Rhinolophus ferrumequinum: one gene and its partners. The protein of the gene in region 1 interacts with the protein of each later gene in a biochemical or structural test. Links are inferred from orthologs where the notes say so. Each region holds a gene or a part of one and is shown in the gene's direction. Other genes may lie near its edges.

Evidence for each region.
Region 2: the proteins of SKP2 (region 1) and CCNE1 form a complex in vitro, tested with the Homo sapiens proteins (2 studies listed by BioGRID, with this or other methods). The link is inferred for Rhinolophus ferrumequinum from reciprocal best matches to the Homo sapiens genes SKP2 and CCNE1.
Region 3: the proteins of SKP2 (region 1) and CCNA2 are reported together in a solved structure, tested with the Homo sapiens proteins (2 studies listed by BioGRID, with this or other methods). The link is inferred for Rhinolophus ferrumequinum from reciprocal best matches to the Homo sapiens genes SKP2 and CCNA2.

The regions. Positions count from the first base shown.
Region 1 is NC_046290.1:23,649,988-23,660,194, forward strand, and holds the start of SKP2 (S-phase kinase-associated protein 2), read left to right. Parts: upstream 1-3,584; 5' UTR 3,585-3,734; coding exon 3,735-3,778; intron 3,779-4,147; coding exon 4,148-4,419; intron 4,420-10,207. UniProt on the Homo sapiens protein: Substrate recognition component of a SCF (SKP1-CUL1-F-box protein) E3 ubiquitin-protein ligase complex which mediates the ubiquitination and subsequent proteasomal degradation of target proteins involved in cell cycle progression, signal transduction and transcription.
Region 2 is NC_046298.1:1,956,008-1,966,214, reverse strand, and holds the start of CCNE1 (G1/S-specific cyclin-E1), read left to right. Parts: upstream 1-4,636; 5' UTR 4,637-4,805; intron 4,806-5,259; 5' UTR 5,260-5,288; coding exon 5,289-5,311; intron 5,312-5,423; coding exon 5,424-5,511; intron 5,512-5,746; coding exon 5,747-5,815; intron 5,816-9,750; coding exon 9,751-9,896; intron 9,897-9,978; coding exon 9,979-10,114; intron 10,115-10,207. UniProt on the Homo sapiens protein: Essential for the control of the cell cycle at the G1/S (start) transition.
Region 3 is NC_046301.1:4,677,135-4,687,341, reverse strand, and holds the start of CCNA2 (cyclin-A2), read left to right. Parts: upstream 1-5,253; 5' UTR 5,254-5,520; coding exon 5,521-5,721; intron 5,722-6,510; coding exon 6,511-6,754; intron 6,755-8,036; coding exon 8,037-8,149; intron 8,150-8,349; coding exon 8,350-8,573; intron 8,574-9,247; coding exon 9,248-9,455; intron 9,456-9,883; coding exon 9,884-9,997; intron 9,998-10,207. Other genes in the region: BBS7 (Bardet-Biedl syndrome 7 protein), read left to right, coding at 720-829, 947-1,050, 1,182-1,305, 3,249-3,382. UniProt on the Homo sapiens protein: Cyclin which controls both the G1/S and the G2/M transition phases of the cell cycle. Functions through the formation of specific serine/threonine protein kinase holoenzyme complexes with the cyclin-dependent protein kinases CDK1 or CDK2.

The DNA.
Region 1 (10,207 bases):
ATGTTTAAAGATTTCAGGTACAGGTAGAATTCAGCTTAGGATACAGATAGAACACCACAAGAAAGGTCATTAAGAATGTGGAAAAAGTCGTTAACTTTTCTTGAATCCATCTTCAAAAAATGAGCTGTTTTGGCAAACCAACCAGGTGAACTGAACTGTACAGTGTGACTGCCCTTCCGACGAAAGACGGACACAAAAAAACTTTCACCTTTGGCAAGGCATGAGAGGGAGAGGTAGCAACCACATAAGCAGGAAAGAAGAAAACAACTGGAATTGTAATGGAAGATTTCAGGTAAAGAGATTGTAAGACTTATTTTGGTAATTAGAGAATAATCCTTAGAATCCTTCCTAGCAAGAAAATGATTGTTTTTAAAAAGGAATAGCTAATGTTTGGTGTGCGTTTACTAGATTCCAAGGATGTGCTAGCATACTTTACTGAATTAAACCTCATAACCCAGTAATAAAGGACTGTTAGTATCCTATTTAACAAAGGAGAAATAGCACAAAAAGGGTCAGAGCTGGGATTCAAACCCAGGCATCCTGCCTGCAGAGCCTAGCTCACAATTAGGATACTACAGTCTCTTCTACAGTCCAGACAAACTTTCTTAATTTCAACTGTTTAAATCGTTTATCTTGTTCAGGTTTCATAGTGAACAAATTACAAACATTCTCCTATTAATTATTCCCTTAGATATATCAAGGTAGAATGCTAAGAAAGTCATGTTTAATACAGAAATTAACCAAGCCTTTTTATCTTGCAGGTCAGGCTGCCATGACTTAAGGATAATGTATGCCTCTAATCTATGCGGGAAAAGTAGGAAAGAAAACATAGATAAAATGAGAATTGGGAAAGAACCCTTCTTGGTCTTTTGTTCCCCTAAGCTAAATAACATTAAAAAAAAATAACTAAAGGAATCTTTTTTAAGATTTACCTCATGCTATTATGGAGCTAAGAAAAAAAGCACACCACCCTTTTATTTAAATAGAATCTCTTTTGTCATATTTGATTTTCAAAAATACTAATATATTACTGAATATAGATACAGCTTAGAATCAAATGTAATTTCCACTGCTTTTTGGCCTCTCCTGTGCCGACAATATTGACCACCTTGTAACTATGCACTTTGGATGATAAACACTTTCCCAATTTGCAAAGTCACTTCGTATTCTATCCTAAACTTAAAAAGAGTACCTGAAATTACTCACTTTAATGTTATTTGCAGACATTAAAAAATTAGTTCATCTGCCCTAAATACTGATCTAGTAATTCTACTTCTAGAAATTTGGTATACCTCTTTTACTAAAATGGGACATGGGTGTGCTGAGTAAGACTCAATGAATACAATTAATCAGGAAAATAATCCGTATCAGTTGCAATCACAATGTAGTTTTTGAAAACACCAGACATCAATCTCTACATAGCTAGTAATCTTATGTCTTCAATGGATACAATTCCTTAAACAAAATTACATGTACCAATTTAAACTTTTATTTACTATATTAAGAGAACAGCCATGATTAGAAGGAATGCAGAAAAAAGTATTCCCATTTTGGCAAGCTAAAATTTTTCTGTGACCAGGGCAAACTATTAGGGAAATGGCTATTCTAGAATTTGAAGACTGAATTTCAAAGTTGACAGGCTCTCTCTCTGAAGTCCTATACAGGACCTCATGTCCACCAATTCAGATATTTCAAATATTCTGAGAATTAAAAATGTTCCCTAGCTCTCAGGCAACTAATAGTTAAATCGTAGCACAAGAATATTTCTCATCTTTAAATTTAGAATCACCCTATTAGACTTTCCCACTTATCAGCTCTATTTAAAGTGGTCTTTTCATGTCAAATTTTTGTTTATTCTTATTATGGCATTTTAAATAGTTTTGTCTTACTTATTCTTTCTCCTCCATTAGTTTATAAGCTCCATCTTGTTCAATTTCCTGAAGGAGACTATTTTTTTTTTGTTAACAATAATTTCTCTAATGACTTGCAATTTTAAGTGAAAGGATGTAGATTTCAAACTAAGTCAACCGCTTTTTCCTTAGCCAAAGTAACAAAGACAAGTTTACGGAAAAAAATCAGAATATTGTATTTAAAAATATTTTCCATATAACACTAGTTTAATGAATTCTGAACATTCATTCTAGTTAGTCTTAACCTAGTTTCAATCCAGATGAATTTGTGAACAGATCCCTTTTCACAACAATTCCACCTCCTTTCAAGAACAAACTAAAGGTTCATGAATACCTTTCTGTCAAGAGTCGGTATTTACTTTTCAAGCTAAGAACCGAGCCCCGAACAAGCACATACGCGGGCAAAGGAGGTTTAATTCTAGTACAAAGTATATCAGTTAAAGAAGTAAGAAGGTGTGTCATACAGCATAGTGATGTAATGTTTGTGGTGACGCTGGCCTGCTTACTGGTGAACTTTTTAAATCTTTTCCATTTTTATTAGGGTTGGAATTTATTCCCCTTCTCTCTTCCACTGTTTACCCGGGGTCACGGTCATAGTATCGCTCGCACAATGGATTTCGCACGGTCATCCTACCTGGAATATGGCACACCCTCTACTCTAACCGCCTCCCTTCCAAACTCTCCTCCGGGGAGACAGACTAAAGGCAGCTCCCTTTCGGACCGCGGCGCAACCGGACGCAGGCGGTAGAGCGAAAGCCACAGAATGGCTTTGCTGGTGGCCCTAACATTGCACTGTAAAGCCCTTTGCAAACACACAGGTACCTTATCCGTGCCGGTGCTAGCATTTAGGAGACTTGTCAAGGCTGCAAGGGGATGTGCAGCTTTCCCACGGTACACAGGCATCACTGTGCTCTCCTGCTCCCCTAGAATTAAACAACCTCCTCTCGTTCGCACTGCGCTTTCATTTACAAAACGCTTGCACACGCGTTATCTAATTTGACCCTCACTCCAAGCCTGTGAAACGAGCGTTGTGGTCGTCGTGCCTATTTTACAGATGAGGAAAGGATCCAGTCCACAGACCCAGTCCTATTAAGGGCCGCAGCTTCCGGGCAGAGGCGAGCAGGTGCGACGCTCGCGGCTCGCAGCCTCTCACCTGGCCGGCGGGCTGGGCCACCGCCTCCACTCCGCTGCCGAGGACGTGGGCCCCGCCGCCGCGGCCGCGGCCGCTCGGGGTTTTCGTAGTCCTGTCTCCGCCTACGCCCGGCCCCAGATCCCAGACCCCAAAGTGCTTCACGCTCTCCCCTTGAGGCTCACCGTCCGATCTCCCCAGACAGCGTCTGGAATGACCAGGAAACTCCGCGTCCGCCACAGCCTCCAGGATCTGGGACCCACGCTCCGAGGCGATGGTAGTGGCGGTCACCAGAAGGCCTGCGGGTTCCCGGGAAAGGAATACCCGGTCCCGGTCAAACGGATGACAAGTCCCAGTCAGCCGAAGCGCCGCCCGCTTCCGCTTCCCCGCCTATACCTTGGGCTGTTCAACCCCGCAACCGCGGGGGATTGTGGGTATCTCGAAGGCTGGCAGAGCTGCAAGGGAAGGAAGTAATGTTGAGCCAGCCGGACTACGCGGCACGGCAGAGACTACAATTCCCAGCAGGCAGCGGGGCCGCAGAAGGCAGCCGCGGAGATCAAGTAGACAAGCCCTGCGCGCGCGGCGGGGATAGAACGTTGCTAGAGTTGGCGGGTCTCGCTGCTGGGGGCCGGAGCCACAAGCCTTGGACCGCCGCGCGCCAAAGCGGGAATCCGGGAGGCTGGCAACTGCAATTAATGCATGCATTTAAAACTCCCGAACCTGTGGACGCCATGCACAGGTAACTCGATTACAAAAAGCAGCAGGGCATGAATGGACTGTCTTAATTCATTTAGGCCATGGATACTGTATTGGGCTTTCCTGCTACCGTTTTGAATTGCTGTATGATTTCCCTCCTTCGCTTGTCTGTTTCCTCCACTTTAAGAAATTCCTGAGGCCTTCTGCATGATCGTAAATCAAAAGGCCTTTTCGATTTGTTCGGTTATTTTATCTTTCATTCTTGGGAACTTGCCTGCGGCACGTAAAGAATGCAATTCTGTTAGTTGCTGTGAAAGTTTTCTGCATTGCATAACTTGCAGTTTCCTTTAGGCCTACCAGTTATTATGGGTGTGTTTCTGAAAGGAGCAGGGGCTATTGTGCATTTCTACAGGAAACACCTCCAGGAGATTCCTGACCAGAGTAGCAACGTTACCACCAGCTTCACGTGGGGATGGGATTCTAGCAAGACTTCTGAACTGCTGTCAGGCATGGGGGTCTCCACCCTGGAGAAGGAGGAGGTGGACAGTGAGAACATCCCCCAGGAACTTCTTTCAAACCTGAGTCACCCGCAGAGCCCCCCACGTAAACGGCTGAAGAGCAAAGGGAATGACAAGGACTTTGTGATTGTCCGCAGACCCAAGCTAAATCGAGAGAACTTTCCAGGTAAGGGTAAAACTGTCAGTCACAGAAGGGGTTAGTTGAACTATTTTGCTGGTAAGCCTTGGTTCAGGGGTCTTTAGGCTGGGGCCCTTTAAAAAATGCCTAATTCTGAAAGAAATGGAACAATTCATTGTCGCTGAAGTCTGTAGGAATCTTAGGTATGTACTATCATCTACTGCACAATCGATTTTTAACCTATGTGAAATTTTAACCCATGAGAAGACAGTCTGCCTTTTTCCTTAGAAAGGAATCTGCCGGCTCAAAAGCCAGCTAAAAGCCAGATAAATGGGAACACAAGCAATGATCTTGTAGGACTCTGTTTTTATTCTGCTGTTCTATAGTCCTGGTTGAGCTTTTTGCCATCACGATCTGTCAAAAGACTGCTAAAGTGAATGTTAAACTAAATGGAATTTTAAGACTTAACCCCCCCCAAGTCCACTCCCAAATGGGATTCTTCTGGTATGCTCTGTCTCCATTCTGTAATGGAGACAGAGCATTATTTGTTCAGTGACCCAACCCAGAAACCTGAGGGTCAGTCATATTCCCGCCATCCCCCAACATCCAACCAATGATTGAATTTTTTCCCTCTTGTCTCCTAAATATTTCCTAAGCTCTCATCATCACTGCCCTGAATATTTGAATCAACTCATTATTCCAGCCTTGTCCTTCCTAGATCCATCCCCCAGAGCTGGAGTGGACTGACTGAAATGTAGAACTCACCATATCATTCCCCTCTTAATTATCATCAAAGCATAGGGTAAACACAGTGCTTTGCATTGATCTCAGGTTATCAGTTTTTCTTGCCGGTAAGCCATTTAAGACATTCATTCAGCAAGTATTTGCTGAGTACATACTATGTGCTTGGCATTGTTCAAGGTGCTAAGGAAAGAGCAATGAGCAAAGCATAAAGATTCCTACCCTTATGGAGCTTCTGTTCTAGAGAGGACATAATAAACTTGCTAAATATGGTATGTGGTATGTTAGAACGTGATGAGTGCTAGTTATGGTGAAAAACAAAAACTGAACAAGCCAAGAGGGATTGGAAATCCTGGGGTGGGAAGATGGATTGCAATTTTAAACAGGGTATTGAAGGAAAGCCTCGCTTGGACAGTGAGCTTTAGGCAAAGGCATAAGGAAGGCGAGGGAATGTGCCATGCAAGTATCTTGGAGAACAGAGCCCTAAGCCTAAGGACAGCCAGTGCAAAGACCCTGGGGCAGAAGCATGTCATGTTTCTTCAGGAACAACAAGGAAGCCATTCTTCAAAAGTGAGCAAGGGGGAGAGTAGTGGGAGATCAGGCTAGAGGTGATACTGGGCAAAGTTGTGATGTGACCTTTTAAAAGATGCACTGATGTGTGGAGACTAAACTGTATGAGGTCAAGGGTAAAAGCATAGAGACTTGTAAAGAGGGGGGTGGCCAGATTCTGGATAGATTCTTACATTAATAGAGTTCTGGATAGATTCTGAAATTGGAGCTGATAGAGTTGCATGACTGTTGAAATTGTTGAAGAGCAATCAGAGTGTAAACTGGAATTGGGTGGGTGATGGTAGAGAAGAAGAAACAGATTAGAGAAATAAAAAGGAAGTCTTGCAGAGCCAAGGTAAATAAGTATATTCCTAAATTCTCCCATCTAGCTTTCTTTGCAGAAGGGATGCTTGGTTGCTTGCTTTGCTTTAAAAAAAAAAAAATCTTTTTTTTTTTTTTTCATTTTTCAATACTTTCTTTAGGAAAGAGAATCTTCAAGCTATGATCTTGGAATCTATATCAGGAGTGGGATTAAATAGAAAGGCAGTAAAAAATTGTGGTGAAGTCAGACAAATCTGAGTTTGAATCCTTATTCTGTTTATCAGCCTTTGAAAGTTATTTGAGCTCCCTGTGCCTTAGTTTCTTTGAGAAATGGACAAATAATACTCACGTCATAGGTTGCTGTGAAGATTAAATGAAAGAATGCATGTAAAGCTCTTACCATGCTTCCTGTATATAACAGTCAGTAAGTAAATCCATTTAATTTGGTCAACAAAATGTATGACATCCATTTTGGAGGTTACTTCACTTGTTCTTTGGTCATTAATATTGTTAACCTGACCCTATTAGTGTAGTTTTTTTTTTTTCCTTCAAAATTTAATGTCTCTGTTTTATTTAGTGTCTGGAATGCAGCACTAGCAATTTGATGTTTAACCAACCAAATGTAATAAAAAGACACTTCCTGCTAAACGAGCAGATGTTAATTTGTCCAATGCCGAAAGCTTTTAACGAGGAGTGTGATTTCTGTATGGCCTTCCGCATTCACATACACAGTTGTAAATAAAAAAAGACTTTTTTTTTTTTAAGTAAGGCACTGTGGAAATAAGACAAGATTAACGGATGGTTGCTGTCTTCTAGGCAATTACAAGTCAAGTTGAGGAGGAAAGAGAAACTCACAGCAAAAGATGGCAGCTAGCAGCCAATGTGTGGTTCAGGCAGCGAGTGCCATAGGAGGACAGAGGGAGAGAACCGCCTGTGCCAAAGTGACCCTAAGCTTCCCAGGTGCAGAGGGTTTCCTAGGGGAATCCCCACTGGATGTGGACAGTCTTCCTCCTTCCACTCAACAAAAGCAGAGGCTCTGAGAAAAGGGAGAAGGATCTGGAAGTGGTCCAATCAGAGACTAGATTGTTAGAATTGACTTCAAATATATGGAGGGTGCCAAAAAATGTATACACATTTTAAGAAAGGAAACAACTGTATTAAAATTGTAATACTCAATATATACCAATAACAAAATATGAATACAAGTCATATGTATACCATTTTTTGTCACCGGTGGTATATATGTAAAGTGAGAAAGAAAAACTTGTGAGATTTGTTTTTATCATTATTACCTAAGAGAGAGAGAGAGGCAGGGAGGGAAACTACCGTGTTTCCCCGAAAATAAGACCTAGCCGGACCACCGGCTCTAATGCATCTTTTGGAGCAAACATTAATATGCTTGTTCAAGGTAAAATAAGTAAAATAAGTAGTAAAATCTTATAGTAAAATAAGATCGGGTCTTATATAATATAATATAGTATAAGACCAGGTCTTATATTAATGTTTGCTCCAAAAGACGCATTAGAGCTGGTGGTCCGGCTAGGTCTTATTTTCGGGGAAACAGGGTAGTATACATTGTACGTGTGTGGAATTACACGCAATGAGACTGGTTAGTTGGTGTGGGTGAGGGGCACAGAGATGGATTCAGGATGCAGGAGGAAGACAGCTGGTACAGAGGATTCCCAGTGGGCCTTTAGGAGCCCACTCCAGTGTACTGGATCGTCATTCCAGGGAGTTTTGTGTGCAGTTGTCAGGACAGGTGGCTAACAGCTCTGCCAGGATTAGGGTAGAACAGGCCACACCTGCTATACATAGAGATCTGATGACAGTGGCCCTGGGCCGTGAGTTTTTCTTGGTTCTTCACTCAGCAGTCTCTCCCTGCAGGCTCCAAGCCAGGCTCACATCTGGCCAGTAAATCCTTTTTATCTGTTTATTTTGGAAGATAAAAACTATGTGGCCAACTGTACCAGGACAGGTCTGATTGGCCCCTGGGGTGTGTGGAGTTGGGAAGAAATGGCCAGTAGCAAGGTCATCAATGGGCAGTAAGAGGACCTGCATTTATTCATGGTCATGAAATGCCTGTCCTGGTCCCCTGTCTTCCCCACGTCCCCCTCCAAACAGGATGGCCATGAAAACACTGGTGAACTAATTTGTGGATCAGCTCTTCCATGGCTATTAAACTGCTTCAAATTCCAGACCCTACGCTGGTTCTCAGACTGGAGACTCCAGAGTTTAGAGTATGCTGATACCCCCAAGGGAACTTGTTCAAAGTGCAAAATTCCTGAGATTCTGATCACGAAGTTCCTGCCTTGAGCCTGGGAATCAGCTTTAACACCCGCAGGCAAACATTGCCTCCACTTTTTTTTTGTTTTAACCAATAAGTTATATATTTTGCATTGCATTCCTGGTGTGTATCTGAAACAGAAATATCACTAAACTATGTTTCCCCTTAGTAAGATATTTCCTATTCTGTTCCATTCCATTCTTTCAAAAACATTGCTGATCAAACTAAATTCATGTCCTGACTCACCCATGAATCTCAGCCTGCAGCTCCCAAAACTCAGCTCTGTTAGAACCTTTATGGGACCCTCCCAGGAATCATTGTTTGCTCTGTAGCTTCCTTTCATTTATTCATTAAGCAAAGATTTATTGAGCATCATTCTAGAGATTAGGAAGACAGCAGGGAACATAACAGGCAAAAGACCCTGCTGTCATAGAGTCTATACACTGTACCTTCTTCTCCAAATCCCAATTTTCATGGTTTCTCCATTACTCTTCCCACAGCCGTGCATAAGCCAGACTCTCACAGAAATCTAGGGTTCTGAGGCTGAGGGGCTTCATTGAGGAGCTCTGTTTTTTGTTTTACTATGTTTTTCTTTTTTCAGTTTTGCCCACCTACCCAAAAAACAAACAAAACAAAAAAATGAAAAAAACCCATATACGAAGAGCTAGCATAGTCTAGTGCTTTCTCTTTATGATTTGTGGGAGGAGGGAGGAAAACGCATCTCAGATGGCAGAATCTGTTAGGTAGTAGTAGCTTCCCAGAAAGGAAGTGTAAGAGTTGCTACTACTCAAAAACAAGCTAGCAAAAGCAAACCTGAGGAGTAAATATGGAGTAAATATGTCCAATGAGAGGAGTTACCGATCGTGCAAAGATGTAATGCACAGAAAACTCTTCAATAAGAGGCTCTTTCCAGAGGAGTGTAAGAGGTGTGAGCAGTGAGGAGGTGACCGGAGTGGACAGCTGGGTTTGTACCTGAGGGATACGTGGAAATGGTGACGGCCTAGGGTCATGACAGCAGGTTTGTGAATCCAGCCAGCTTTCTCCCGTTCATGGCTCAGAAGTATGTTTCACTGCTGCCATGTAGTTGGAGCCTGGAGGCCTTGGGCTGGATAATTATTTCCCTTACTGTGCGGGGCTGGTGTGCAGCCTTGGAGGGTTTAGAAGAGGCGAGCGGTGGAAAGACCTGTTCTGGACTTTCTCTTCCGCTCTGGGCAAACAGACCAGGCGGCAGTGTAGTCAGGAATCCAGGAAACAGATGGTTGATGTTTTGAGAATTCAATGTGGCAAGTAAAATTAAATTAAGCATATCACAAGCCTGGATACCATCCGCCAGAGCAGCTATAGGAAGACAGACTTGTATCCCATCTGCTTGGACAGCAGCCAGTTTCAGGCTGTGGCACCCCGACCCAGAGGCCCGAGAAGCACTGCCGCCCTGTGGTTAACTGAGTGGAACCCTGGGTACTTGGCTGCTTCCTGAGGCTGTGCATTTGCTTGGCCATCGCTCCTTCCGTCTGGTAGCCGACACACTGATAGCTCTCAGCACCTTTTGTTTTGCACCCTCTCCCCTTCACCCCTCCCTCCCAGCTCTGATTGATTTTTTTTTTTTTTTCCATAGCAAGTCAGGTTTAATTCTCTCCTTTCCTAAACTTATAGAATATCAAGTACCCAGAACAGGGCGAGCACAGAATTTTAGAGCACCAAGGGTAGAAAGAGGGCACATCCCAGAATAGAAAGAGTCAGACCCTGGGTCTCAGTTCCCACTCTGCTACCAGCTGGTTGTGACTTTGTGCCTTTTCTCATAGTTGCATCTTTTCCTGAAGCTCCTTCCCCCACCTCAAAGATTACTCGTATTCTGACGGAGGACATTCCCTTTGTGCCCTGCGTTTTTGTCTTCAGCCTTACCCCTTCATCCCCCCAAATGCCAACAGTGCCGTGCCATTC
Region 2 (10,207 bases), on another chromosome or scaffold:
TCACCATCTGGAAAAAGCTTTCTGTACCTCTCACCTTTGCCCTGGTCCATTCATCCGCCCACCTATTTATTCCGCACACGTGGCCGTCCAGACCCTGTGCTGGGCTCTGGGCAACGCTGGGGCCTGCAGGCCTGGGTTCCTGCCCGTCTGTGCCCTGCTCAGAGCCCCCTTCCTTCTCTCCTGCTCGTGGGTTTAATCCGGAGCCTCCCTCCCCTACGACTCCATGCTGCAGACTCGGAGCAGTTCCGACCTCCAGGTGGGCTCCGGTGTCAGACAACCCCACCCCCGAACAGGCCAGCCGCCTGCTGTTGTCCTGCACAGACGTGGGCCCGGCTTTGCCAAATCATCCTGTCGCTCCGCGTCACAAACCCTCGCGTGGACAGGAACTCAACTGTTTGCTAATATTCTGCCTCAGTTTGTGACCGCTGTCCAGGCACGTGTGGAGTGAGTGCTGTTCAGTGTCCATTTGCCCCAGAGCGGGTGAGGTGTCCTTGGGAGTCCCTAGAAGGCAGGGTCCAGCCAGTCCCCCCAGGCCCACTAGCATTTGACTGGGGACACGGGCCTCTGCGGCCGCCAGGCTGATTAACACGTGTGTGCCAATGGGGCTGATACACGCGACGGGTGAGGAACGTTGCTGGCGGAGTCGGGGTTCCTGGGGAGCTGTGCCAGTGAAGCAGCCTGGCACCCCCGAACCAGGCCGGTGATGGAGGACTGACTATAGAGAAGGGCCCGCGTGGGTCTGGACCACTGCGAGCCGCGGGGTCACAAATGGACAAAGTCTGGCAGCTCCTCACCCTTTCCTTCACCCACAACTCTCTTGGTTCCACGTTGTGAGAAACCCAACCCCAACGGGCTGCGTGAATATGGGAAAATACATAATTGGCTCCAGCATCCAGAAAGTTCCTAGTAATCTGGTCTTGAGCTTGATTGGATCCAGGAACTCAACGAATCAGAATCCTGCTTCCCCTCACCTTTGGCTCTGCTCCCCTGAGGAAGGACTTCCCTCCAAGGAAGGTCACCCTGAGTGGCAACATGGCCTCCTGGTCCGAGGCCCACTTCCTGGCAGCTTAGCAACACCAAAGGATTTTGATTGGCCCAGCTTGGGTCATGTGCCTACCCCTGAACCAATCACGTGGTTAGGAATGTGGTACTCTGATTGGCCAGGACCCCTACCCCATCAAAGTGCAGAGGGTGGTGCTTCAAGGAAAATGTGAGTCCCTGACCAGAAGGAACATACCAAGGCCTTCTCTCTCCAAGCCATCCCCCCACCCCACCCTCTAAGTCTTGCAGCTGTGCCTGTCTTCAGAAAACCCAAAGTGAGATTTAAGTGAAAGCTGGGGATATGGTGGTCAGACATGGATCAATGCCCTCCTGTGTCTTAGCCCACACTGTGGGGGTAGCCTATTGCTACATAACTGCCCCCCAACCTGGTCACACACCCCCACTCCTTGAAGTGTCTGCAAATTAGTCCCTGTTTCTGGCAACCCTGGGCTTAGCATAGAATCCATAAATGTCAGCTCATGGCTCTATCTTACACTAAGTTTAAAGGTCAAGTTTAATTTTCACTGGAGTGTTTTAACTGATCGCAGCCTCTGTCTAAAGAAGTATCGACTGGACTTACTCTCCAGCGTAAAGGGGGTTAGATCAGGGAGGGACCACCCATTGGTTAGCCAGTCTCTCCACCTTGGAGTCCACAGCAGTGTAAGCTTGATCTGAATGGTAATAAAGACTTGGGGAGCATAGATTGGGGTCCTTGACTCCCGCTGACCTGGCAGGCCTGTGCACGCAGATTTCCAGGGCTGAGGGAGGACAGGAGCCATGACTCCGGGGCCTTCCCACACTCGGGGGTCCTGCTCACCTCACCTGGCCCCCACCAACAGCTCACACTGGTGCAGCCAGTCTGGCCCCTCTTCTTCTGGGATTCCAGTCTGGAGCCGCACAAGAGCCCCTCCTTTGGCCCAGCCAGGCAGGTACAGTTGTCCAGCTGTGCCTGACAGCAGGGCCCCTGCCAGTTCCACAGCCTACGCCTTCCCTGACCAACCCTCTCCAGCAGCAGTGCTCCTTACCTTTCTGTTAGGTGTCTTTAAGGAGCTGGTAAAAGTTATGCATCTGCTGCCCCGGAAAGGGCACACAGTGGGCTGGCACTGTCTGTGGGCAGTTTCCTGGGCCCCTGAAAACTGATCCCAGGTTAAGGGATCCTATCTGGGAAGGACTTCCCACTGGCAACCCCCATGTGCTCACTTCTCCTTAACCCTGGTATCCTGGCTCCTGTCCTAAGCCTCCCACCATCATTGGTGCTAAACCTAAATTTCTTTATGGATAATAATTGTTAATCCTAGTGAACGCTTACTACTGGCTAGATACTGTTGCAAATGCATTATGGGCATTAATACAGGAACCCTGGAGGTTGGGATAATTTGAATCACCCCATTTTACAGATGAGGAAATTGAGGCACCAAGAAGCAGTTAAGGCTCTTTCCCAAAGCTGCTGCCTTCCCCACATAGCAGCTGGTTTACCACCTCTAGTCCCATCCACAGTCTCCCTCAAGGCTGAGCCCATGCATGGACACTCTGAACCTGTTGCAGGTGCATCATGAAATGAACCCAAACAGCCAAAGGTGAGCTGCCCCAGATGAGTGGCCATCTGTAACTTCGAAAGTCTCCAAGCCTTTGTGCAGTCTGTTTCCGCTGCCTTGCACATTTCTTTTCTATTGCCTCTGCCAAACTCATTCATCCTTCCCGCTTACATGCTGCTTCCTCCATGCAGCCTTCTTGGAAACCAAGAGGAGGTTGGATGCTCCCGCCCCCTACTCCATGTGAAGTCTTATCCCCCAGGATTTTCCTTATCAGTCTGTACTGCCGCTTACTTCCTCCCTTCCAGACTGTAAGCTCCCAAGTAAGCAGGGATTATTAAAGTCTTGCTTTACTTTGTTTTAATTCTTTTTTGAAAAACATTTAAATTGATTATTAAACTATAACAGCAAAGTACACAGATCGTAAGGGTATAGCTCGAGCCTACCTAAGCCAACTTGAGCAAGTCACCTCAGCAGCCTTGACCTCAGAGCCCCTGAAAGGTCAACAACCTGTTAGCAGTGTCTTTGTGGAGGTGCCACAACATACAGTCTTCAATAAGACCCAGGCTCTAACATCAAGAAGACAATCATGAGGGAGTGGGGGTCAGAGAGCAAAACTGAGACTGTACAGCAGGGAACACCTGGGAGTGCTTCCAGCCCTCTGCTACAGGCTTCTAGAAGTTGAGAACAGAAGGTACTTTCAAGTTACATTATTCCATAGCTGCCTCTCTCACCAGCCGGCAAGCTCTACAAGTTTTGGTCCATGTATGGTTTTCAGTCATTCATTCACAAATAGGATTGAAGTGTCTCCTTTCCTCCAGCCACTATGCCGATACCTGGGGCATACAGCCGGGAAGGAGACAGACAAGGTAGGGGGAGGGACAACGAACGAGGCAAAAACCAAGGAGCAGGAGACATGTGGTGGCAAGTGCTGGGAGGGACCTGCAGCAGGGCCATGGGGTGGAGAGAAGCTCCTGGGGAGAGCCGGGCGCTAGGTTAAATGGTCACTGCAGACCTTGAAGTCCTCAGGAAGGAGGAGAGCCCAAGGGGGCCAGAGCAGGTGACAACAGGCTCCAAGTCCCTGAGGTGAGAAAGGACAGAGGGTGGCCTGAGCTGTGAGGGGAGGGGTTGAAGGGGAGGTGTGACGGGCTGAGGGCCAGTTCATGTAGTGCCCTGGAGGTCAAGGCAGGGGCTGTGGATTTGATCCTCAGGCTGACCGCGAACACTCAGAAGGCTTTAGCTCCAGAGGGCCCCGTGGAGTCTGAGTCACAGAGGTCGTCTGATGCTCACATACATAGGTTTGCGGGGCAGGGGCACGCATGGAAGGGGCTTGACTGTTAGTCGAGAGAAGGAATGAATGAACGCACGCTTGCAGGCACACAAGCACGGAAAGACGGAGGGACGTGCGCCCAAGAATAAACCGCTGTTCCACAGGGGGCCCCAGACCCAGCGGCCCGCTGGAGGCCCTGGGTCTAGGCCCGGCGACCCGGCGCTGTGACCTTGGGCACATCCCGGCCCCGACTCAGGGCCCGGAGCCCTGCCTCTCAGGGCGGAGAGGACCTGCGAGGAGGGCCAGGGCGCGCGCACGGCAGGAGGACGAATGGTGGGACCGCGGCCCCAACCCTGGTCCGACTAGGCCGGACCGCGGCCGGGCCCGAACCCTCGCCGCCAGCCGTGTTTACATCCGCCCGGCGCCCGCCACGCGGCTTTTTGCCGCTCCAGCGCGGCCGGGCCCCGCCTCGGGCCCACCCTCCGCCCCGCTCGCCGCAGCCCTCCGCCGCGTCCGCCCGGCGCGCCCCACCCTCCGCCGCGCGCGCCGGCCCGCCTCCCGCGGCCCGCCCCGCGCAGGCCCTGTCACTGGGCCCCGCCCCCCGGCCCCGCCCCGCCCCCGCGGCCCGGCGCCTCTGCCGGCCTGCGCCGCGGCGGGCGGTCCCGAGGGCGGCGGCTGGGCGGGCCCGGAGCCGGCGGGGCGGGGCGGAGGGTGGCGGGAGGGCGCGAGGGCGGGCCGGGGGCCGGTTCCGCGCGCAGAGATTTTTAAATGTCCCGCTCTTCGCCGGGCGCAGGAGCAGCCGGCTCGACCGCCAGCGCTGTGTAGGGGGCAGGCGCGGATCCCGCCACCGCCGCGCGCTCGCCCGCCGCCGCCTCCCGCCTCCCGGCTTCCCGCTCGCCTCTGCCGCCTGCCTGCCTCCGGCCTCGGCGCGTGCCGCCTGCCTGTCGCGGACACGGCTTCGGGTAAGGGCCCGCCACGGGCTGCGGACGGCGCGGCGGGCGAGGACTCCCGGAGCGCCCGGGCCGGGCCGGGGTGAGGGTGGGGGTGGGGCGAGGCAGGGTCGCCGGGTGCCCGGAGGCGTCAGCGCGGGGTGCCTGGGCAGGGTGGCTCAGAGACGGGCTAGGAGGGGAGTGGAGGGGAGACCGAGGCAGCGCGGGCGCCGAGGGAGGCGATGGGCCGGCAAGGGTTTCCGGGGCGTCCAAGCCCCCCCACCCCGGGTTCGGGCCCGGTATCGCGGGCTGCTGGCGGCGCCGCGGGTGACAAGCCACCCCGGGCCCATCGGCCATTTTCCCGACCGGCCCGGGAGGCTCCCGCCGCCGCCCGCGCGGGAGGGGGAGGGGTGTCCGGGGCGGGCCGGCGGGCTCTGGTCCCCTCCGCCGGTCGTCCTCACCCCAATGCCTGCTTCGTGCCCCCCAGGCCTGAGGTGTGATTCCGCGCCCTGCGCCATGCCGAGGGAGAGGAGGGAGAGGTGAGTGGCCCGGCCACTGCGGGGAAGGGAAGGGTGTGCGGCGGTGGGGGAAGGGTGGGCCCTTCTCCGGGGACAACTCACCCTTAACCTCTGTGCCACCCCGGCTTTGCAGGGATGCCAAGGAGCCGGGCACCATGAAAGAGGAAAGCTGCACCGATGTCTCTGTTCGCTCCAGGAAGAGGAAGGCAAATGTGGCCGTTGTGAGTACAAAGGAGACAGGTGGGGGAGGATTGCCCCCTCATCTTACCTGGGTACCAGGCTGGGCTCTGCCCACATTATTGATGGAGGGGTACGGTGAGGGGTGGTCCGGTTTGCAGAAATCGCCCTACTCTAACCAATTTGCCCATTCCCTAACCGACTTTCTTTTTCTTCTCTCTTTTGTGTTTTTGTCTTTGGGTTGTTTGGTGTGTTTCCTTGGGGATGGTTTTATGTTAGTTTTTGCAAGATCCTGATGAAGAAATTGCCAAAATTGACAGGACTGTGAGAAGCCAGTGTGGCAGTCAGGTAGGTTCACTTGCTGACTGGGACTCAGTAGAGGGCCTCCTGCTTTTTCTGGGCCCGTGGGTCTCCTATTGCCTTGCCTCTTGGGGAAGGGTGTTTCCCTATGGCTGAGCACCACGCCTGTCAGTGGGCACTGACCTCTGCCAGTCTTGGGATTCTAGGAAGGTCCTGTGTTCCAAATATGTGCTGATGTCTGGAAGAACCAGAATGGACATCAAATAACTCAGTTCTCCCCTTTTGCCCTTGAGGAAACTGACACTCAGGAAGAAGTTAACCCCGAGCCCTGTGCAAAGCAGGGGTGCTGTCTATCCTACAGCCTTGTCTCTATTCTGGCAGGGGGGGGGGGTTGGGATGGGGGAGGGCTCCTGACACAGCTCTGTGGGTAACTGTGATAATGGGGGTTTGTGTGTGTTCATAAGAACGGCTTCTCCCCCACCCACATTTGTGTTTTTTTCCTCCTGGTGCTCAAGGACCTCCCTGACCCCTCCTACTGCCTTTAAGTCAGGTTTAAACCCGCCCTGCCCCCCCTTCTGGAAGTTTTTCCAGCCTCTCCAGCAATTACCTACAGTGTGGTCACTGCTGTCTGGGGCTCGACCTGGCCTCCGTCAGAGTATTAGTGGAACATTCTGTGTAATGATATGTGTGTTTCAACACTTTTTTGTTGACTATCTCATTTCTCCTGCCCCTCCTTCACGGACTTCCCGCCAAATTTCCTGCATGCTCATGATATCATTATAATATCAGAAGTTCCTGGCAGAAAAAGCGTGTATTATCTGTCTACCTCCAGAAATGACTGGAGACTGTAGTTACGGCTCCAGCAGGGAAAGCAGCCTCTCTCCAAACCGGCTGATTAGGCCTTCTGACCCGAGCACAGATAAAAGCTGAGTAGGAATAGAGCCTGGGCTGCACGCAGTGGTCCTGACCAGGTGGGCAGTGGGTGTGCATCAGCCGTGGCAGCTGAGCGTGGGAGAGGGAAGGGCTTCGAAGTACTGGGCCACACTGTGTGCCACTGCACGGAAGACCCTAGTAATTAGCATTTGTGGGGCTGATGATTTCCTTCTCTCTTAGAAGAAAAAATACGTCACTTTAGGAAAGGAAATAAGATAGTGCATCCCAAGTTCCTTCTTTTTCTCATTTTCAAACCAAGCAAGTTGATTTTTGTGGGTATGATAAAATGGACCTCTACTTTGTGAAATGCAAGATTGGTTATTTGCCCAGCTGTGTTTTGAATTGAAATTTCCAACTGAGGTGAAGCAAAGCTGTCCATGTTGAGTTCTTGGTGCTTTAGGTAGTTTCTGTTCTGACGGATCTCCCGAGTGGCACCTGGGCTGCTAAGATGGAGCTGTGGCGCAGTCCCTGGCCTGTGGAAAGGTGACAGTCGTGATATGTGAATAGCCAGGTTATTTCTCACTGGAAGGCGTCTTCATGGTTGTCCAGAGATTAATGACAACAGGTTTCTGCACGTTTTGTAGATTAGATAGCTTAAAAATTATCCACCCATTTATGGAGCAGTCGTCTTGATGCAGACTCATGAAGCCAGAAGTTTAGGGTAACACAGAGCCTTTCTGCCTGTTAACTACACAGAATGGCACCATTATCATAGTTCAGCCTAGTACAACAGCCTTCAGTGACTTGTAGCCATCATGCCAAGCTCCACGTAACTGCTTCATCAAGACCACAGGGAACCGTTGAGTCTTACCCTGGACCTGACTTAATGAAAAGAATACCCTTTTGTCTAAAGTCCACTTCATATATCCATTTTTTGCATGAGATGCAACTTTTTGTATTGAAGTGGAATCATGGACTTTCTGTTAGTTACTTCTCAGAACGTAATTTTGCATAAGGTAGTTGTATTAATTAAAAGTGGCATCAGGAGTCGGGGCAGTTAGGAATCGTCGTGATTGGTCTCTTGCTATTATCTCACTCCTCCCTAAAGTCTGATCTTGCTTCCTTTGAAACATGTACACACTCCAAGTTATAGGACACAGACTTATACAACGGCTCCTGAAAAGGCCAACTTTGGGAACCATGTGTCTGCTTGTGGGTTTGTGAGCTGCAGGCTGGAAACTGCTACCAGTTCGTCTCCAAAGGCCTGCTCTCAGCTCTCCAGCCGTCCAGCTGTAGAGGGTGGCACCCAGCTTCTGCCTTCAGAGCTAGAATTCATTCTTGAATGAAGAGCAACTAAAGCAGTTGTAACGTGACCCTTTTTGAGTCGAGGAAATGCTCCCAGCACACTGTGCTGGGACTGCAAGAGGAGGCTGCCGTCCAGCAGCTGTTGGCAAGAGCTGTCGTGGTTAATTTGCATGCCCAGTTCTGTGCAGGACGCTGGAGAAGGGCTCGGTCCTGCTTTGCTCTTCTCAGGACCCTGAAAGTGCTGTGGCTTCCTCTGAAAGGGGCCAGTGTGCTGTGACAGCCATCCTGTACCATGTTTTTCAGATAGATTTAGAGCCAAGTTTCCATGATCATTTATGGTCATCTCAGTTGTCTCTTCTCTAGTGAACATTAATGATTTCTCTGCTTTCAGAAAAAAAAAAAATGCCACGAGTGTCAGACTTTCAAAGTGCTTCCACGCTGGCAAGATTGTTATCTGCCATATCTTCAACAAAATCACTATTTTATAATTTACAAAATCAATCATATACAGACAACAGAAAAGTGGTTACCAGGGGGGCGAGGGGGGTGAAGGTAAAGGGGGTCAGATCCATGGAGATGGAAGGAGACTGGACTTTGGGTGGGGAGCTCACAGTGGCGTACTCAGATGTGTTATAAAACTGTACACCTGAAATTCATATAAAGTTAGTAACCAATGTCACCCCGATACATTTAATAAAAATAAATCAATCAGGCTTCTTTTTACACTAGGACAATAAACAGTAGCTTTAAAAAGAAAATTTCCTAAATGGCAAAATGACCTTGGTATTTTCCAGATACTGAAAGTTGAATAAAAGTAAGTATCTGGAATCTTTAAAAGAAAAGCCTTTTGGTCTATAAAGATGGTTTATTCACTTAGAGTTGAGTCTTACTCAGGTGTAGGGCTTCCGGGGCGGGATTCAGAGGTCTTCAGGGGTAGCTAAGCTCTGTCTCTGAAGTCGTCTTAGTGTTAGGTTCGTGCAAAAGTAATTGCGGTTTTTGCAATTTTTTTTTTTAACCTTTTAAACTGCAATTACTTTTGTACCAACCTGACAGAACCTGTGACCATTACTTGATTTGGTTTTAATGGGGCAGATGTTCTTTTTGTCTTGTTTTGAGTTAAGGAAAACAAAAAGTCCCAATTATGTAATGTATTTGGCTAGTCCTACAACCAAAGGAAGATGTCACATTTGATGTGACATTTTGTTTTAAAATGGGGAGACTTTAATCATAGGTGGCAATTTACATTTTTGATCTTTTATACTTATGAATGTGGAGTGCTTATGTAAATACTCCTGTTGGAAATTCCAGCCACTTTCAAAAAATTTTTATTTCTACTTGATAAAAACCAAATCTTTGAGTTGTGACTACGTAATCGCACAATACACTTCAGTAGTCATTCCCAGTGTCTTCCTGAGCTGCAAATGTATTTGTGTGTATATATATTTTTTGGTAATGTAAAAGCTGTTTGCATTTCATCTTCCCCCTCCTGCACCCATTTTGCTGCTCAAGCACCACGTATGAGAATGACATGGGAGCGATAAAATGCTGCTGACTTTGTAGTTTTCTTAGCTATTTCCCCCATGGGCTCCTAAGCTGTGACAGAAGGGAGTGAACGCTCACATGCAGGGGCCATTACTACGGCTCTTACTCATCCACGCCATCACCATCTTAATTTAGGCCAGAATATCTATTCAGGCCTGGGACTTGCTCTCCAGTGTGAAGACATGTTTTGAATTACTGGCTGCTCTACAAATCAATGAATGTAGAAAGAGCTGCTTTGCATCAAACGTGTTTCTCCTTTCCAGCCTTGGGACGGTGATCCAGTGTGTGAAAGCCCCTGCTCCCTGATCCCCACACCTGACAAAGAAGAGGATGAGCTGGTGTACCCGAACTCCACGCGCCAGCCTCACAGCGGCAGGCCTGCCCGAGCCTCTCCCCTGCCCGTGCTGAAGTACGCTGCTGCCCAGTGCCGCCCGTGCCCCCGCGGCCGCTGCTATGTGTGGCTGCACCTGACCCCTCTTTTGTTCTTGTAGCTGGGCAAATCGAGAGGAGGTCTGGAAAATCATGGTAAACAAGGAAAGGACGTACTTAAGGGACAAGCACTTTTTACAGCGGCACCCTCTCCTGCAGCCGAAAATGCGGGCCATTCTTCTGGACTGGCTGATGGAGGTGAGCCACTCTCCCTGTTAGTGGGAAGCGCTGACCCTTTCCGGAATCTTCTGTGCTGTCACGACCTCCTCGTGGGTTTGATCCCATTGGCAC
Region 3 (10,207 bases), on another chromosome or scaffold:
CATCTTTTCAGCTACCATAGAGCTTCTCTTTCCCACTAGTTCAAGTAAAAAAAGTCCCAGGAGTGAGTGTCACTGTTGAGCCATGAACCACTGTGGCCAGGAGTATGGAATACACTGCTCAGTGCTTCCTCCTGAAGGCCCAGAAATGGGGTTGAGGCCAGTGCCAATGATATTATATGCATTTAGAAGGAAGAGAGAGAGAGATAGGAGTGGTTCCCTAAAGAAAAACAAGGGTCCTGTGACGGGCCATAAGACGTGACAATAGGTGCTGGGCGTGGAAGAACAGACGATGCTACTCTTAGGTTTGATGTCAGCTTTCTTTTAAGGAAGAAGCATATAGTCATGCTGTAATTTATGTGAGTACATCAAAGAAAGACATGTAAATAAGCTATTCTAAATGCATTTTATATACATAATGGGTTAGCTATTGGAAATTTTATTAGTGAAAATGAAGTTGTTTTAAATCGAGGACATAAATTAGCATATTTTTAGGAGGCATATATCTAACATCTTTTATTTAGTTTTGCAAGTATGTTCAGAATTTAAATTAATACAACAGTAAAGGTTATACATTTAATATGCTTTATATTAATGAGATGTGTGTATAAAGAAATCTAAAATCAAATGAAATAACACTAATTACTAGTTACAAAATATGTATTTACTGGATGTATTTCGTCCTAAAGCTGTTCTTTAAAATATATATATTAATTTTATAGAAAAGGAGAAGGAGTTTTTAAATCTGACAACATTTCTACTATATCCATCCTAAAAGATGTGCTTTCTAAAGAAGCTACAAAGAGGAAAATTAACCTTAACATCTCATACGGTAAAAAAAGAAAAATGAATCATTTTTTTCTGGGTATTTTTTTGATTGTTGTTATTACAGTGAGAATGTTTCTGATCAAAATTACTTTCTAATTATGCCTGGCTCAACTTCTTCTAGAGATAAATGAAGTATCAGTCAAACACACTTTAAAGCTAATCCACCCAAAGCTGGAGTACCAGTTGCTTTTGGCTAAGAAAGTTCAGTTAATTGATGCTTTAAAAGTAAGTATATGTGTCATGGACTCATGATCATTATTTTATTGTGATGGGATTTCTAAAATTTTAAAGACTTTAAAGTTATACTGGATTGAATTTTGAGCATTAAATTGCTTCTGTTTTTAATTTTAAACAAGGAATTGCAGGTTCATGAGGGAAATACAAACTTTCTGATACCAGAATATCGCTGTATTTTAGAAGAGGCAGATCACCTACAGGAAGAATACAAAAAGCAACCTGCACATCTTGAAAGACTCTATGGTTAGTGTACTATTCTAGAATACCTTGCCATATTTCTTTCTTACTGGCTGTTTGTAAAGGATCATGTGAGAGAAGTTGGGCAGAGGAGACAGGCAAAGATTACAGCATCATGAACCTGTGACAGCCAATTTGTTGCTTAGAATATGTATTTTGTCAAGTTAGTTTTAATATTTAGTAGCTTTATTTGTTAAAATGCAAGTAAAATTAAGTGAAATAAGTATAATGCAGTGTGGGGTTATATACATGAAGAAACCTGGTGTGAAATGACTATAATCTATGAAGCATTAAAATTTAGGCTATATTTTACACAAATAATTTTTAGGTTTTTTTGCTATTGTGAAATATCAAAATGCAGCATTTAATATATTTTTAGGCAAAATTTAATAAGGGATATATATATACCATGTCAGTTTACAGTCCAAAACTCATTTTGTGGGGTGGCTGGTTAGCTCAGTTGGTTAGAGCATGGTGCTGATAACACCAAGGTTGCTGGTTCGGTCCCTGCATGGGCTGCTGTGAGCTGCACCCTCCTTTAAAAAAAAAAGCAAAAAAACGAAAAACTCATTTTGCTTTGGTGGTAGAAGTTGGGTATTTCACAAATTATACTGAAAAAGAACGAGAGCAAGAGGAAAGGAAGGACCAGCTTAAGAAAAACTTTATTTTTTGCAATCTTTACATAAGACCTACTGTACATAGCACACTTGTTTATTTATAACATCTTCATAATCAGGTGGGATACTTAATCCTTAAAAAAAGCTCTGCAAGGTAGATGGTGTTACCTCCATTTTTTACACTTTTTAACTGAAATCTGAGAGTAAAGAATTTGTTGTCGCATAGATAAGTAGAGGCAAAGCCTGCAGAACCTCCTCACCCCAAAATGCGTGCTTTTTGCACTATGTCAAGTCTTCTATAGAGTCAATTAGTGTCATCAATCTACATTTATCCTTAAGCCTACCTGATGAATTTCTTTTATTACATCGAGGGACTTGCTCACAAACTGTAATAATAATATCTAATATCTTAGTATTTACTATATGGAAAGCACATGGTTTTTTATCCTTATAGCAGCCTAGAAGATGGGTGGTGCAGACCCACTGTCTCTTATCACCACTTCCAAAATCCAGAAAACTTTGAAAAACAAAGCTGTTTTTCGTAAATCACTTGGCTTGATAAGTGAGTCATAAATCAAATCTGACTTGATCTGAATTAATTTAATGACAAAATCTCACTTAAACTGACATGAAATTATTTATAGTCTTTTTTATTCCACTTAGTGGGATTGTTTATGCATATATTTTGTTGCAGAAACATTACTATGTTTTGTTATCAAATGCTGTCATTCACTCCCCTTCAGAATTATACCATATGTGCTATATTCTTTTTATTATCTTCCTAAACTGAAAAACTCTGAAACATACCTCCCACCCAGGGTTTTGGGTAAATGGATTGACAGCTTGAATCGTTTCCATTGTACATATGAGAGAACTTAAAGGTGAAATAATTTGCCCAGATCTTTGAACCTAGGAAGTCAAATCCCAAGAATGGTCAACATATTGATGGAATATTTTAATATAAATAAACTTGTGAAGAACAGAATTTCTACAGTATGTTGAAATGGTCAGCTTGATGGATAAAACAAACCTTTTGCTGTGATGTTAAATACACCGAGAGCAGTTCAAGACTGGACAGTGTTTGTCTGAATTAATAGCTTGTAACCAATTGTTAAGAGGGTTATTAGCCAACTGATTTATATTTTGAAACTTGCCTTTAAAATTCTCCCAAAATAAATATTTTTTAAAGCATCAATCCTTTCAGGTTTGTGTATAAATAATGGAATTACAGGTGCTTAGAAATAGAGTCTCAAGCAATCATTCACTTTTATTAAGTACTATGTCATTAATTAGAACTAATCAATGACAGGAAATTAACATTTTTTTTTATAGGCATGATCACCGATCTCTTCATAGATAAGTTCAAGTTTAAAGGCACCAATGTGAAAACCAAAGTTCCTCTTTTACTGGAGATTCTGGACAGTTATGACCAAAATGCATTGATTGCTTTCTTTGATGCTGCATGAAATATAAACCAGGTAAAGTTCCAGAGAAGTTGTCTGTTTAAAAGTAAAAGCTAACTATATATACTTTCATTTCAAATATTTTTAAATATTTTCTAAAAATATTTGAGATACAACTTTTTTTTAGTAATGCTATTTCTTTTGACAAATGCAACTTTTTAAAAATAGAGAGCATTTTTATTTTTAAAATACAAGTGGAATGATTATAAGGTATCCTAATGAATTTTTTGCAAGTGAATGTTTTAACTTTTATGATGATAAATAATATTTGGAAAATAAAAATACATTCAAATATTTCACAAGCTCTACCCACACATTATATATATATAAACTGCTTTACAGTTTTCAAAATGTATTTGCATTCGTTTACCTCTTTTGATCTTAACTGTATTATTTTGTCAAATAAGAAAACTGATTCTCACTGAGGTTAAGTGAAGAAGACTGCTCTTATTTTGTAAAGCTGGGACGAGAACCCACATACTAGTGCCTGGTTTGTGTCCTGGTTACCATATATGCTATCAGCCAGTGGAAATAACCTACCAGTTATTTTTCCTAGGAGTAGAGATTGACTTGCAGTTGATTTCACTCTTGCTTGGTAATGAGCATCGTGACCAGTGCTCAGTTTGTAAGGTGCTTAAGTTGGCTCAATGCTATTAATTGTGGTCAAAGAAACAAGCAGAGCTCGCACCGATTGGGGGTGAGGGGGACTTGAATTCCATGTGCTGTAACAAATAGAGCTAGACCAGTGTGCATGTGAATAGTGCACAAATAGTGATGGCTTCTTAGATTTTCCTGCACTACTATCCACTCATTTCCTTTTTATCATGTATGAAAGGAAGTATGACTTTAAGGCTACAGAAGTGTTATTCATTAATCTTAATTCATGTTTATTCATACTCAGAGGAATATTGTATTCAAAGTTTACTTTAAAATGGCATAAAGATTATAATGGAAAATCAGCTATTCTCTATGTTTTTAAGAAGGACACACTCATGAATTTGTCAGAAAACAATCGTGCTTAATTATATACCATTATATTTATTAGTTATGTACAGCCTTGAATATTAAATGTGAAAATCTGTTAAAGGCACTTATCACTAAGAGTTTTATTTTAATAAGGTCACATATTCTACTATATTCAAACAACCTTTTCTAAATGGAACACATAAATATGTCACTAGAATTTCACTGGTGCTTTTTGTTGGCTGCTACATCGTGGGTTAAAATAGATCAGAACTGATGACTAGTTGAATTTCTTGTAGTAATTACTATTTGTTATATGTATCAACAGTAGTTCACGGTGGCACCTCAAATTAATTGCATCTTCATTAGGAACAATAAAAAAGCATCTAAATGGTAGATGACATAATCTGCCATGTATTACATGTTATTACATGAGCAGCGTGTTAAATAATTTATGCATATAATTTAATCCTAACGACAACAGTATGACGTGTAGATATTAACAATGAGCAGATAAGAAAACAGATTCGGAGACATTGAATAACCTTGACCAAGACTACCAGACCAGTTAGATTTTACACTTTGGGAATCAAGTCAGTCAAAGCCTGGAGGTCCCTGGGCTAAAGGCTGGGGCGGCCCACCAATCACGGCTCAGGTTTCACTGGTTAATCCTAGGGGCAGCCCTGAGCCCAGGGACCGCCCCGTGGCTTCATTTAAAGTCACGGTAAAGCCAGGCCCCGCCTCCCGCCCGGCGCAGGCGTTTTTCCTCCCGCCGCCGTCCGACATTGCCCCGCCCAGCCCCTGCTCGGTCGCCTGCGCGGCCGCCTTCACTCGCTTGCGACGCGTCGCCCCGAGTGACGTCACGGGCCCCCGGCCTTGATCATTGGCTCATTTCAATAGTCGCGGGATACTTGAACTGCATGAACAGCCGCCTCTCCGGCGGGCTGCTCGCTTGGTCTCGGTGGTGTCCTAGGCTCTCCACGCCCGGCGGTGCCAGCCTGCGCCTTTCATAGCCTCCTCGGTTCTCAGCGATCCGAGTGGGTGGGTGCGCGGGCGGGCTGGCCCGGGCTGCGGCAGGCGGCTACGGCTGGAGCACTGCTTGGCGCGGCCGGACGGCGGTACCGAGTGCACGCTGCTTGGCGCTGCAGGCTGATCCCGCCGTGTCCTTGGGAGCAGTGATGTTGGGCACTTCTGCGGCCCGCGAGGCGGGCTCGGCGCTGCTAACATTGCAGCAGACGGCGCCCCAAGAGGACCAGGAGAACATCAACCCCGAGAAGGCGTCGCCCGCCCAGCAGCCCCGCACCCGGGCCGGGCTGGCTGTACTGAAGGCCGGGAACCAGCGGGGTCCGGCGCCGCCGCAGAAACCGAAGACGAGACGGGTAAAGAGAAGAGCGATATCTGCAGGAGGGTGGGCCGAGGGTTAGTTTTGCAAAGGTTTAGCGGGCAGAGGAGAGGGGCGAGAGCATCCTCTGGGCTTTTTGTTAGGGAGGCCTGGGCCTGCAATCCCCTCGATCTCTGGTTTTGTGGCGTGTGGGATGCCACCGGCGTAGTTCTCCCATTACTTTCCTGGCCATCAACTGCATTGTGCTGCCTGTCTACTCTCGATTGGGGGTATTTTTCTGTAGATAATGGGGTCAAACCAAGCTCTACAGCATGACTGTGGTCTTTGCCCGCCTCCGTGCCTTTCTCATAGTTTTTAAACCCCCGGCTGGCTCTAGGACCTGGACCTGCTGCCGCCTTCCCACGCGGCTAAGAGGTTACTTCTACCTTAGAAAAGGATATAATAAATACTCTGTTTTTGCTAAATTCCGCCATTTTACCCGATTTGCTCTGTTGCTCCACCCTGGGGTGAAAGTGGTGAAGCAACGCATTTTTGCCATCTCTTTCCTAAACTTGTCACCTTTCAGCCACTCCACCCCTCTTGTGGCCTTGATTAGTTTCTCATAATTCCACTTGGTATGACGCTCTATAACCTTTGCATAAATGCCTGTGACACATTGGAACATTCCTTTTCTTCGACTATTCGAAGTTCGTTGCCTGGATTTTGCCGCAGTAACTTTAATTTTCCTGATAGAGTAGTTGGGAGTAAAGCAGAGGCTGAGACCCAGAAGGGGAAGAAAGCAAAACTTCATTTAATAGGCTGAAAATCAGTATCCGTTTCTTTTTAGGCTGCACCTCTTAAGGATCTTCCTGTAAATGATGAGCATATTATTGTTCCTCCCTGGAAAGCAAACAGTCAACAGCCTGCATTTACCATCCATGTGGATGAAGCAGAAGAAGAGACTCAAAAGAGGCCAGGTGAATCTAAAAAAACAGAGTGTGAAGATGTCCTGGCGTTTAATTCAGCTCTTACTTTACCTGAACCAAGAAAACCACTGGTACCTCTTGATTACCCCATGATGGGCAGTTTTGGTAAGTTTTAATGAACATCTGTATCAAATCGATGTAATCATAATTATTAGATAAGTTGGGTTAATGATATTTCGCATTTTAAGGCATCTTACCTGACCCTTACTACATGAGTTAGGCTTAATGTCACAAGTTTAGAAAGGGTGTTTTATCTCAGACCTCACAACTAGTACATGACCTAGTGACCTACAAAAAAGAAATAAAATCCTAATTGACCAGTGTTCCTTCCAGTACACTGCCAGTCTCATCAATTTAATTAGAGCTCATTGATTTTAATCTGACCCTGGAAATGTTTGCTCTGTTGGGAGAATAGATTTCAATTGTATTCATCAGATTCACTTTGTTCATACCACTTCAGAGATGGGTATGCAGCTTTCCATATTGTGATATCTACTAACATCTCTTGAGCTTTAAAGTTTTGTTTTGTGAAAGCATATGAGCGATCCTGTGATACCAGAGAGGAACACTGTCCTGTGAGTCAGCAGCTGAACCGTGGCTCTTTGTCTTAACCACACATCAGAGTAGCTGCTTTCGACAGTTGTGCCTGCAGTTTGTGCTGCTGCCTAACCATAGGGCTCGAGTCCCTGGACAGCTCACTGAATCTAGTCTTTTAGTTTTATTGATGAGTGGGGGTCTGGGAGGAGCAGGAAAGTCTTTCGGAATTCAAAGAATTTGTGTATTTTTATTTAAAATTTGCAACAAATTTTAGCCTCAAAGTGAACCTTGAAGTGAAAAGAAGAATAGATCTTCTTTGCTTCAAAAGATAACTTAAAATTACAAAAGTGAATCACTTGTTGATTACAGTGTTAATTTGTTTATAGTGCCCATAATAAACCTAAAAACCGAATTTTCTCATTAATACACTTGTTAGCCCTGCTTCCACTTAATTTGTAGGTTGTGCTTTGAATATGTCGAGCTTTGGGATCTGCAAATTCTTAGGGCAAATCCTATGTTATCTCAAAACCTGGACTTTAACTCTGTCCTAACGGAACCATCATGTCACCTGTTCTTGTCTCATGGAAGTTGAATGATACTTCAACATACATAATACATGATCCTCACATTTATTTACCTGTTTGTGGCCTATCAGTATTTTTTCTTGTTAGATAAAGCTAAGTAGACAGAGATACTAAAACCGGAGTGAAATAAATATTCTTTGTACTTTGTCATGGGAAGCCCTTTTTCATCACGTGAAATATATGCTTTCGTGGTGTGGGACTTCCTACAAGGGCAGTGACTTTTTAAATTAAACAGTGAACTTAATCGTACTTTTGAATTCTCCCAGAGTCACCACATGCTATGGACATGTCAATTGTACTGGAAGATGAAAAGCCAGTGAGTGTTAATGAAGTACCAGATTACCACGAGGACATTCACACATACCTCAGGGAAATGGAGGTAAAGGCTCTCTGAATCCACTTTTCATACTGTTAATCAATGTCATGAAATGAAATTGAGAGGGAAATGCTTTGAAGTTTTTTAACTGCCAATGAATTGCTCTAATGCAATACTTAGGTTTCTAGCATATAGCAGCATAGTTAATGATAGAATAATCTAACTGAAATGTTTAAATCTATGCTAAGTAACTTTCTCAACAGATTAAATGTAAGCCTAAAGTGGGTTACATGAAGAAACAGCCAGACATCACCAACAGTATGAGGGCTATCCTCGTGGACTGGTTAGTTGAAGTAGGAGAAGAATATAAACTCCAGAATGAGACGCTGCATTTGGCTGTGAACTACATCGATAGGTTCCTTTCATCCATGTCTGTGTTGAGAGGAAAACTTCAGCTTGTGGGCACTGCTGCTATGCTGTTGGCCTCGTAAGTCAACTTGGGTGAAAAGTGATCAGTACCTTTCTGTGTAGGGAAGAAATTGGGATTTTCAACAGTGTCACATTTAATATTACACAAGGCAGAGAGTCAGTGACTACTTCAGCGGTGACAGGTGTGGGTGAAACTTCTCATTTAGGACATTTTCCAGGTCTGGATTCCAGGGTACCTTGCTGAATGAGCATGGAGACTGGCTACATTTTAATACGCCAGGACTAGAGTACAAAGTTGAAAAGTGTGGTTCCTTCCATTAAAAAGTGCTTTCTGGAACATAAGCAAAATCTTCTCCCCATTAAAACATGAAAACTAAATTTTAAAACTGAAACATAAAACGTTTATTTTTCTAAGAAAAGTTTCTAAATTTTTAGTTACTTGGTGAACTCTGTATTGTTCCCATCTTGGAAAGTCTTGTGCCTCATTTATTTCCTTTGACTGCCCTGGGAGAAATAGCTCAAACGTCCTTTATTGATCTGGGTCTTTTAATTAGCATGTCCCCAGTCTCTGCTAGAAATGGTCAATTACCAGTTATCAGTAGAAACGGGCCATGGGTGGAGAACAGGTTTTGGACTCGTTCTGTGTATTCTGTGGATTTGTTCTGGGTTTCAGAATTGGGATAAACGAGCTTCTCTTTTAGGACTGATTGCTTGAAACTTTATTCATTGTAGAAAGTTTGAAGAAATCTACCCCCCAGAAGTAGCAGAGTTTGTGTACATTACAGATGACACCTACACCAAGAAACAGGTTCTGAGAATGGAGCACCTAGTGCTCAAAGTCCTTGCTTTCGACTTAGCAGCACCGACGGTGAATCAGTTTCTTACCCAATACTTTCTGCACCAGCAGCCTGCAAACTGCAAAGTGGAAAGTTTAGCAATGGTAAGTTCTTTTCATTTGGTTGAATCAAGATTCTTAGGTCATAATTAAGGGCAAGCCCTAGTTTCTGTATAGCTTTGGCCAAGGGATTTAGTATTTCGGGGACAGATTAATGCTGCAGTATGGCAGAAAGCCTACCATCGGCAAAAGGTAATAGAAATTGGGAAAGCATTAGTAGTGACCTGAGGATGAAGTCTGGGGAAATGGTAGGGTAGCCAGAAGAGTTGTTTTAAAAGTTATTAAAAGGAGGAAAATACGGGAAGACAATGGGACAAAACACTAGTTAATGGATATAGCTAAAAGATGAGGCTATGGGAATTTTTTCCTATGGTTTCTATACAGCGAGGGAAAAATTAGGTCAGAAGGCAGGGATTTGAGATTTGAATTCCTAGAGCTCTTGAGATCAAAAGTATATTTACTTTTCATTCCAGTTTTTGGGAGAGTTAAGTTTGATAGATGCTGACCCATACCTTAAGTATTTGCCATCAGTTATCGCTGGAGCAGCCTTTCATCTAGCCCTCTACACAGTCACGGGACAAAGTTGGGTACGTATGTACTACGATGTCTTCACAGCTACCTTGCCACTTACAAGCTTGTGCCACATTAAGTTTAGTAACTGTCGTGTACAGCTGATGGTTGTCTAGATGTACTGACCTGGAAAAACTGTTCAACTATCTACACTGTTAGGTACAAAGCTCAGGTATTGAATTTGAAAGGCATGCTTAAAGAATTCGGGCCTTATGACCTGCTACTAG